Linked DNA regions of Astyanax mexicanus. The protein of the gene in region 1 interacts with the protein of each later gene in a pairwise test. Links are inferred from orthologs where the notes say so. Each region holds a gene or a part of one and is shown on either strand. Other genes may lie near its edges.

Region 1 (3,762 bases):
TGCATATTGTATTGTACGCAATAATATCACCAACATTTTTGAATTACGTGAACAATATTATACCCTAAAATATCATACTATATCACCCACCCTAATTATCACATCAGGGTACTACTTTTTTGCTGTTTTTAGCCAAAGAAAAATTCACACTGTTCTCATTTCCCATTATATATCTACTAGAGACAGATTCTATCTGTCCAATATCATTTATTTTACTTTAATCCTGGATATATGAAGATATTTGGAGTGCATTATTAGTATCATGACATTCTGGATTATTCTTCTGTTACAAATCTGATAAAATTCTTGTATTTTTTAATATCTCAGTTAGGGGTGTGCCCTATCATATTATATGCAATAGTAAAATTTAATTTTTATTTTGTTGCAGTAGTTTATTCTTGCAATATATATTTTTTAATCAGTGTTTTATCGCCATGAGTATCGTTATCGTTAAAATACCATAATATATAGTGAATGTTTTGGCCACGGCATGTTTGTGCAGATGCATATTTGGGAATTCTATTGCACTCATCCAAAAAACTTTTTGCAAGCACTTCTTTATATGAGATTTTTAAAACTAAAGGAGGACTAACAGCTCAAAAAAAAAAAAAACAGGGGAAATAATACTGAATCTAAAACATAGAAGATGTACCATTTTATCTTTGTTCTTTTTCATTTTAACTTACTTCTTAATACCTTAACATCTTGATTGTATAGTCTTTTCACATACAACAATGCTTTTACTTTGCAAAAGTAAAATAAATGATGAACATGAATGTGAATTCATGCATGAGTGTGATAAAGTCAAGTAAAGTAAAGTTTACTGTCTTTCACTTCTGTGGGGGGAGGGGGTTAGTTCCTGTGTTTATGGTATTGGTAAATAGCCTAAGTGTAGGGGGTTAGTATAGGAGCAGTTACCCAAACCAGGATTAAGCCTAGTCTTGGACTACACCGCAGTTTTAATGATTTTTCACTGAAAGGAAATTATAGGGCTTAATAACTTTATTGCAAATATAGCATATTCACTTAAAGCAATGCTTTCACATTGTAAAAGTAAAATAAATGATGAGCATAAATGGGAACTTATGCATGAGTGTGATATAAAGTCAAGTAAAGTAAAGTTCACTGTCTTTTACTTCTGACCCCCAACGCAGATGAGAGTAGCAACCTGCTGTCTGTCTGATTAAACAGAAAAAGAGAGCCTCATCATCAGCCGGATGCAAGAAGCAGGATGGGGGCGTATGATGTGGGCGTGTCAGAGGCAGACATGCCCAGCCCACGCCCCGCCCCCCTTTGCGCTCTTGCTTGCTTGTGCTCACACAGCTGAGCAAACTTCACAGCTGGAGAAAGTCTTGACTGTGTTTAGATTTCGTTAGCACAAAATTCGCCAGATAAACACAAGAATAAGCGCAAGTGTAAGGAGTGACGCAGGATATGTACACTGTGTGTGTGTGTGTGTGTTTGGGGGGGTTAGTTCCTGTGTTTATGGTATTGGTATTGGTACACAGACTTAATGTAGGGGGTTAGTTATCCAAACCAGGATTAAACCTAGTCTTGGATTACACAGCAGGTTGAATGATTTTTTTAAGATTTTTCACTGAAAGGAAAAAAAACATAGGGCTTTAAACTTTATTGGTAAACTGACTGTCACATAGGGTTTAATATAAATAAATCGAGACTAACGATTAGATGCACGCATACTTAGTTATATACTAAGTATATATAAACACATTGATACTGAAACTATTGCAAAGAAAAACAAACTGTCAGATTTAGCATGTAAATACCGGTTTCTTGTGAAACTGCAACTTTTTATCATGAACATACCGGTTTCACATAGTCACCAGCTGTTTCCCTCAGAGCACAAACACACCATCATAACCATCCAATTCACCATCAGTATATAGTCTGTTATATTAGCCTGCAGAAATGACAGGATAAACAGTGAAAGAAGAATTAATGAAAGTGAATTATCTCCACTCACCACATTGGTAAGGAAATCACTCTCATTCAGGTCCTCCAGGTCCAACAGGTTGGAATTGGGGAAAAGTTTGTCCGAGGCAAAACTGTCCAATATGGTGTCCATATTGGGGGTGAATGGACTCAATCTTCTGGAAAAATGTCAGATATCTCAAGTAGCAGCTCAGACAACAAAATCTAGGAGTGAAATGTGATCTGAAACTACAGCCGCAGCGTTTCTCTCTGTAGCCTCAGCCGCCTCTAAGCTAGTCTGACCTGTGCTGTCGCCTTCATCCGAGAGCCTGTGTGTGTGTGTATGAGTGTGTGTGAGTGTGTGTGTGACCGCAGCTGGCTGCTGGCTGCTTCTCTCACTCTGCAGAAATCGCGTTGACTTGGATTAAAGCTACACGCTCCTCAAGCTGCGTCTTCATTCATCAGCAGCTCGGAGGAGCGAGCGTGCTCTCATGAATATTCAAATACACCCCGCCCGCTAGGGCGCTCTAGCCACGCCCAATTAAAGAGCCATGAACACAAGTCCAGACCTTTATGATAAAAGCATGACATTTGATACAAGTATAGAAACAATTAGATATTGGACTTTTTTTAAATATTTTTTTCTCTAGAAGTCCTCTTAAGTTTATATGAACTCTAACTATGTATTTTCTAACTGTTTCCGTTGCTTCTGTGGTGGATCTATGTGTTTATTAACCTTTTTAGGGATGTCATTGTATATATATATATATATATATATATATATATATATATATATATATATATATATATATATATATATATATATATATATATATTTGCTGCTTCACCCCTGTTTAAACATATATATACATATATGTATAAACAGGGGTGAAGCAGCAAATTCTGGGTCCTGTACACTCTCAATGTCAGTGGGCCCCTATCCATGTCAGTACACAAGGAACGTGAACGAAAAAAAAAAAAATCAGGATTTTCATGGGCCCCTTTCCCTACTCAGGCCCTGGGTAGTCAGTTCCACTTTTCCCCCTTTTTTATTGATTTAATCATTTGAACTCAAAGATTATTATTATTAGTAGTAGTAGTAGTACTATTATTATTATCACTTGTTAATAACAAGGAACACATTTTGATGTACAAATGTTTATTGGTTTTGTTTTTTATAAAGTGTATATGTACACACCTATGCACACAAACACATTGAAATAGTTACTGAGGCCAAAAGATGTATGGTCATATCAGTAAATCACAGGTTAATGCAGTTCATTCATTGTTGCATTACTTCCTTTTGCACTCATTTCTTTTAATAATACAATACTGGGAGGAAAGAATGTTCATGATGTGCTCTGCACTGTTTAGTCGCCTAAAGCTGGTTTCTGGTTTCAGTTGCTTTAGTCTAGTAAACAAAAGTGAGAGGCTAATGTTCTACTGAGTATGAGTATCTGTGGTACTCACAAAGACACATTTTTGGGAAGCATCCCAGCCAATATGTTCATGTGAGGGTCAAATGGGTAAAATGTGGGCTATAGGTGCATTTCAGGTGGGTTTGTACTGTACATATGATGTTACAGGACCTTGATTTAATCCCACATGGGTCCCATCTAGGTCCTGTGTGTATTGTACAGCCCAGATAGGGCTGACGTTTAACTCCTCATGGTCCCATTTAGGGCTGCCACAAACGATTATTTTTATAGTCGACTAATCACCGATTATTTTTTATGATTAGTCGACTAATCGGATCATACGTTAATTGAATATAAAACACAGTTTATCGCAATAGAATGCAGCTGCTATTATACAACCAACATTAGATTT
Region 2 (3,762 bases), on another chromosome or scaffold:
TACCGTTATTCTCGACTGCTTGTTTGATATGGTTTTGTAGATGTAGGCTGTTATTAAATCGCTGGTCAGTGTCAAAACTGAAGCAGGGGCATTTGAAAACACCACACTGGCCAAACCGTGAAGGGTCAGGAGTGGCCTGAACATGTGTTGGATGCTGTAAAACAGAAAGCAACAAAACACAACATGAGCTTACAATTACTATATCGGTGCACATTAATTGTAACTACATTCAGTACAAAGGTAATAAATGTGCATCGACTTAACCCTCCTGTTACGTTACGGGTCAAATTGACCCATTTAGTAAGATAGTAAAAGTATTTTTTCTGTATGAAACGTCTTCAGCTTGCCTTTATTTGTATAATTAACATATAACATGAAAATGGTTAATTTCATATTTGCAACAACCCCCTGCAAAAACTAAAACTAAAACGAAATTGTAATGTTATGTTTCATTTATATGTAAAAATATTGTGTTGGTCATTTAAAGTAACAAAGTAGTAAAACAAAAAAAAAGTAAGATTTTTTAAAATGGAAAAACAAGTGAATTATCCTAATTGAACTATTACCTCTATTGTACACTATTGTACTAAATGTTGATAGAACAATCAGCAATGGAGTTAGTTATTAAATATTTACTCTTCTGGTTAGGATTATTTTGGTTTCAGAAATATTTTGGATAATTAAAAATGAACCAGGTCAAATTAACCCGGGAATACCATTGCTATTCCTGACAAATTAAATAGGAGGATTAAGCATTTCAAATATTTATTTGTATGACTAAGACTTTGAACCAATTTTAGTTAGCTAGATTATCTTGCTATCTTGTTGGCCAATTAACTTCTTGTATAGACAGTTTAAACAGTTTTTTAGGTTAGCTGACTATAACCCCTAGCTATGCCTTAAAAACAAAACTGATGCCTAGCTCACTACTAGCTATGAGAGTTTATCTGTGATACCATTAATTGGTAGCATTTTAGCCCATAAAACAGAAGGTAAGATAACTAAAGTTTGAATTAGACAAGACTGGGTGCAATTCTGCATTAGAATCCATCAAAAAAAAAAAACGGCAATATGACTAGCTAGAAGCAAACAAACCACATGGTACACGCGCCGATGTAGAACCTTCACAGTAAGGGTTCGTATCAACGACTCACTGTTTATTCATAAAATATAATATAGAAAAACAAGAGGACATTATAAAAATAGCTCTGTTAACTTAAAAAATAACTCAATATTTGTACTTACCGCCATAACCGGAGATATAAATCAGATAGATGCTTTAGCTGCTTTCTCGGCTATAATTCCTGTTTACCTGGAGTAAATGTAGGCGTTCGTGACGGACGTAAGGTGGGTGTTGCTTTAGACGTAAGGCGGAGTTGGACATGGGCGGAGTTGGATGTGGGCGGGGTTGGATGTCCAACTCCGCCTTCCTACAGGCTGCAGCGAGCGGCTCCTCGTTTTTCCAGTGTTTTTGCAGTGGATGGGGCCCTGCTACTGTTTCATTGCTTTATAAACTTGTTCATTGGCTGGTTCATAGTATATTCTGATGGACATCAAACAGTGTTATGTGCAAACAAAACATTTAAAAAATAAAGAAAATTAGTTAGTTAACGTTTAATTAGTAAGTTAGCTAGCTATAATACTCACCTGGCAGTGGGTATATGTGGCTTCATTGTAGTGATACAGCAGTGAAACCGTGATGCAGGTGATGAGTCCGAGCAGAGGCAGGCAGACAGTTAAAACAGCGAACAGGGTGAACGGCAGGCGGATCAGCGGTTTATCCCGGTCCACAGCTCCGTAGGGCACCTGTAGCATCCTGACAGCCGCTCTCACCGACTACATATTACTGCCAACTCCTCCCTCACACACTGACAACAGCGGGGAAACGGCGGCAGCCTGAATTCTACAGCCCATAACCCAGAACCAAGCCGTTTATAGCGCACAGCGAAGCTCTGAGGGGAGAAATTAACTCCGGAATTAAATTAGCACTATTTAATGAGCCTAGCACCGGTAAGCTCGAGACTCTACCTCTAGTTAGCCTAGCTCGCTAGCGTTAGCTACCTCTGTCGCCGCCTATTTCGGTCAATAAGACACTACTAAACAGCGTCTGTGGTATTAATAGCTAACACAGAGTGGTAACTATTTATTTCAATACAAATTATATAACAATTACTAGCAGAAACAGCTAAAAAACTATTGCTAGTAGAAGCTGACGAGGACGTTCACAATACAGCGTCCGGTTAGTGTTTTGTAAGGACTTTTATTTTAAAAACACAACTTCATACTAAAAGTCCGTTCTTTTACATACATATGTGTGGGCATCACTTTAAATGTTTAAACTTTAAACTGTTTGCTTACAAAAGTCAATATTCTCGAATTATTATTAATTATTATTAATTTTTTTTTAATATCGCTCAAAACCTAAGCCAATGGGGAAAAAATAGGAGTGAAATATAGTGATATTATTTTAGGTCCATATAGCACACCGACAAAAATGTATATTCTTTTTACATCAGTGGGATGATATTTTCCAATTAAATGCACTGTTAATTTTATACAAACTAACACCCAAATAATTCAAAACAGACAAATTATTAATCTTTTTCAGAAAGCGATCAGGGCAAGCTAGGGCTAGGAAAACAACCCAACAGCAGGGAAGGACAATGATAGAAATGCCTATGCATTTAGCATTAATCAGAATGAAAATAGGAATTCTGTTACGGGCTCTAAAATTTAAACATTAACGTGCATATGCATTTTTGTAATAGAGTTTTTCCACTGAAAGAATACAAAGTCTATGACTAGGATGACTGGAATTATAACTGACTCTAATGTTCTTAAATCTTAAAATATGTGATAATTCATAAAGCAGTTCGGATATCATAACCAATAACAACTGAATTATACAAAAAAGTAGTAATTTGCTAAATATACTAAATAAAAATAATCAAAGTGAAATATCTGTATATTTAATTCCTCACACATAAGAGTTGAACTTTTTTTAACATATGAAAACAATCTCTGGTTTTAACAGGTAAAAAAAAAAGCTGCTCAAGCAACAATTTTGCTAAAGATCAACAGTACATGCCATAGCATTATGTAAAAAATGTTTATTTTCACAGACATTATACTTTTCTTGCTTGTTAAACTCACTCACCACATTATTGGGAATGTTTTCCACTCCTCTTTAGGGAAATGATCATGTTGATTGGCTACAGTATTGTGCACCATATACAGTACTGAACAGTCACAGTCCAATGCATTTTTCTTCATGGCTTCAATCAGAATTTTCTCACACATTAATAAACCAGCCTTCACATAAAAACTGACTGTTCTCACTGACAGGATTATTCACCACAAAAGTACTGTCTATAGACATCTGATTACACTGCTGTTTTTTAGTCTTATACCAAGCCTTGACATTCACTGCTGATTTTCTGGATAACTTGGTGCATTACCATAAAAAATATTTGGGCCTTGTAAATGTGTAAAGATACCACAACCAATCACATCAATTTATTTTAAAAGAAAAAACAAAAAAGAAAAAAAGGAGGGTGTTTGTTTATTGACCGTTTAAACAAGGACACATTCCAGTATTCTCTCTTTCTTTTTGTGGGTGAGGAGAGAGAGAAAGAGAGAAGTGGGGATGGAAGTCTCCAGGTTCCAAATCCAGACTAGGTCTGGAAAGTGAGTATTTCTAGTTTAAGGGTCTATTTAACAATTCAACAACACGGATTTCCCACCTCTTCTCCCTCACTGATC
Region 3 (3,762 bases), on another chromosome or scaffold:
CATAATTATTTGTGCCCACAGTTCATAGAGACGTGTGCATGTGAAAATATTATGCAATATTATGCAAATAAAAATATTTATTTGCAGAACATGTGAAATGCCTCAAATAACAAAAAAAAATATGCAGAGCTTTCAGGCCCCAAATAATGCAAAGAAAACAAGTTTATATTTATTAAGTTTTAAGAGTTCAGAAATCAATATTTGGTGGAATAACCCTGTTTTTTAATCAGTTTTTTTATCACATGTTCTCCTCCACCAGTCTTACACACTGCCACTCCTGGTTCAATTTGGTAAAATCAAAGAAATTCATAATTTTTAAGTGGTCTCTCATTTTTTTTCCCCAGAGCTGTAGGTGTGAACATGGGAAAACTACAATGGCAGATTTTAAACCAGCATGTCATCTACCGTTAGGATTAAAAGCACTGACCTGTACTTCTTTAACTGGGGAAGGAACTTCAGGGGCTCGTGGGAAGAACACAAGGATCAAGGTGATGGTAGAAGCCAGAAGAACAATGGGGATGATCAGCAGTCTGATGGAAGAATATAGTATTATTCTTTAAAAATCTTACAAATTTAATAAACATGTAAAGAAGCAAGGCTAAATTATAAGACATGTGGTAGGTAAAAGTTAAGGAATTAGAGTGTATTGATTTTAATAGGTACTAAAAACTGAACTTGAAATTATCAAATGCCTGAAGAGTGTGCATAATCTTTGTAATTTCCTTGTGGAACCCCAGTAAACTAGCCATCTGGGAACAGCTGATCAGTGCAAGATACGTGTTCAGGAAGAAGTGGAAATGCACTTATTAAGCTACCACCTTTATAACCACCATCTATTCTAAAGTAACATCAGCAAATATATGCAGCATGTATATCTTAAAATGACTGCTTCAAAATCATTGTGGTGCTCCACTAACCTTTAAATTCCATCCCTATCATAACTTATATTTGTTTTAAATCCGGTAATATCATTCTACTGAGGCAGCCAGTATGCTTCTTTAACTTTCAGATGCTGGATTCTTTTTCTCTCAGCTTAAAAATACAATTTTAAAGGAGCTAGTTTTATCTCCAGCACAAACCCAGCACACCACAAGGTCAGATGAACAAACACACATTCACACACTGTCCTGTAATGCACTCAGGATGTTTAATCCATTTTACTTAGGGGCTTCATGAGTTAAAATGACTGATGAGGAGCTGTAAGTAACTTTCCACATATTTTAAAGGGTCTGTGACACATACTTCATCGTGTATATGAGAATATTTAAAGATTATTATAAGTATATATAAGTATATATTAGTATAAATATAAGTATTTACTTTATTTTAACACACAGACAAACGCGTGGGCAGTGACAGATTTATGCATAGCACGGTGATTCTTATTAATTAATTAATTAATTAATTAACATATTTAAATAAATCATTTAACATTTTATTTGAATGTTGCTGCACATAATTCAGTTTAACATGATTTTTTACATTCTTTGTAATGAAATGTAAAGCTAGGTTATTGTTCTTTAAGTGCTGATGGTATCCTCTATATGCTAATTGTCAATATGATAAGAAAACGTATCACAGCATGGTAAGATATCAATATATTATCCAGCTCATTCAATTAAAACATATAATATACTAGTATAGTTTTAAAAGGGTTTGATTAGAGTACGAGAACCAAACTCTTTGGGTAGATAAGGAAAAAATATTAGCTTGTTATCTAGGTTAGCTGTACAGTTAATCTGATGCAGGATCATTATTTAGCTTACTTTGTTGGAGCGGAGGCTCTGGACAGCAGGAGGGTGAGAACAAGAGTCACGATCCAGACCAGAGCAATGAGGAAAACCCCGGTACCGACTCCCAGCACTGCTCCAGCCATACCTACCTAATCTGCCCCTTCCTAGCTAGTTAGCTACCTCACTTCTTCACCTGTAAAAACTCACCTCTAGGTACCTAGTACCTAGTTAACTTTTTAAAACCAGCCTGTACAGCGAACATTAGACCGCTTTAATCCACAGCCCTGTGTTACAATGATGCGTTTAGCTTAGCCAGGCTTTGTTTATGTAGTAAAAGACTGAAGAAAAAAAGCTTTTAGCGTTAGCTAATTTACTAGCTAGCCATAGTGTTATGTGTACCGTGAATTAAACTAATGGAACCGATAGCTAACGCTAGCTAACTCGCGCGTTAAGTCGTTTTTTTCCGGTTAACAAATTGGCCACTGCTGCTTATGCTGCTAATGCCTCACTCATTACTTATTATTAAACTTATCCCGTTTATCTGTACACATCCCTAATTCAGCGAGGCGACGCTTAAAACTCCATCATAACTGTTTACCCCTGGATACAGTAAGCGGCACAGCAACACTTCCTATGCTACCATAAACAGCCAACCACAGCCGTTGTTAGTCACACGAACTGCATGCTGGGAGATGTGGTTCATTAATGTATCTAAGGACTACAGAGATGCAGTCGGAGTGTTAAATATTAGCTAAAAATATATTTGCAAAAAGACTTGAAAATGTATTTAAAAATAGTAGTTTTTTTAAAAAAAAAGATTAGGATCTTTTTAAAAAGTAATTTGAATCTTTTTGAAACTTCTTAATGTTGAATATATTTTTTAAGGATTTCCAACAATTGTTTTCACATTTACAAACAATTTGATGTTGGATTTTTTTGAGGATACAACACTGTAAATAAGTCTTTTGAACAGTGATCAAAGTCTATAAATCTATTAAAAAACTAATACTGCATTATTTGTGTTGAATTGTATAATATTATAGTACTACTATTATTTCTGTACAATTTAACATCAGGTATCATGACAGTTATTAAGTATTCTTTAATATTATTGTGCAGGATTATAGTATAGTATTGCTATACAGTGTTATATAGTATATTATGGTATAGTATAGTTTTGTACAGTATAAGTGGTAAAAAAAGTACCATAGTCCTGGATAGTAACATACTCTAGTTGTATTATAGGTTGGTATTGCATAGTATACTCGTTATATACACAATACAATAGGTTGGTATTGTATAGTATACTAGTATAGTATATTAGTACACTATTGTTTTAGGATTATGTAGTCGTTTAGTTGTATGATAGTACAGTATGGTATCAGAGTTGTGTTATAGTACTAGAGGTATTGCATAGTATTACAATAGTAAGTAAGTAAGTAAGTCAAATTTATTCATAGAGCACATTTAAAACCAAAGTGCTTTACAATACAATTATTATATAGTCTCTTCGTTGTAATACAATATAGTATCATAGCTGTAGTTTTTACTAGTATATTGTTGTTGTAGAATTATGTAGTCTCTTAGTTGTATGATAGTATAGCATTGTATCATAGCTGTAGTATAGTTTTTTTTTATTTGTATTGTATAGTACACTAGTATACTCTTAATATAGGATTATATAGTCCCTTGGTGCAGGATAGTAGAGTAAAGTATCATAGCTGTACTATAGTTTTATATTGTATAGTATACTAGTGTACTCTTAATATAAAATAATGATGTAGTCTCTAAAGTATATGTTAGTACAGTTTAGTATCATAGCTGTAGTATAGTTTTTATTTGTATTGTATTGTTTTAGGATTATGTAGTCTCTTAGTTGTGTGATAGTACAGTATAGTATCAGTTGTACTGTAGTGAGAGTGATAAAGAACAGTATTAAAGTGCTTTTCGAGGAAGAGTAAGAGCATCAGAAGCTGGACTGTCCTTTTTTCTCTCGTCACTGTTACGATTTCAGCGACCACCGACAGGG

Evidence for each region.
Region 2: the proteins of creb3l1 (region 1) and pgap2 interact in binary tests that used the Homo sapiens proteins (3 or more experiments, as listed by UniProt). The two-hybrid records come from large-scale screens. The link is inferred for Astyanax mexicanus from reciprocal best matches to the Homo sapiens genes CREB3L1 and PGAP2.
Region 3: the proteins of creb3l1 (region 1) and tmem218 interact in binary tests that used the Homo sapiens proteins (3 or more experiments, as listed by UniProt). The link is inferred for Astyanax mexicanus from reciprocal best matches to the Homo sapiens genes CREB3L1 and TMEM218.

The regions. Positions count from the first base shown.
Region 1 is NC_064430.1:14,611,640-14,615,401, reverse strand, and holds the start of creb3l1 (cyclic AMP-responsive element-binding protein 3-like protein 1), read right to left. Parts: upstream 2,380-3,762; 5' UTR 2,087-2,379; coding exon 1,985-2,086; intron 1-1,984.
Region 2 is NC_064424.1:10,367,528-10,371,289, reverse strand, and holds the start of pgap2 (post-GPI attachment to proteins factor 2), read right to left. Parts: upstream 2,271-3,762; 5' UTR 1,816-2,270; coding exon 1,648-1,815; intron 1,453-1,647; exon of another isoform or gene 4-1,452; intron 1-3.
Region 3 is NC_064427.1:33,392,989-33,396,750, reverse strand, and holds the start of tmem218 (transmembrane protein 218), read right to left. Parts: upstream 2,377-3,762; 5' UTR 1,877-2,376; coding exon 1,767-1,876; intron 531-1,766; coding exon 428-530; intron 1-427. UniProt on the Homo sapiens protein: May be involved in ciliary biogenesis or function.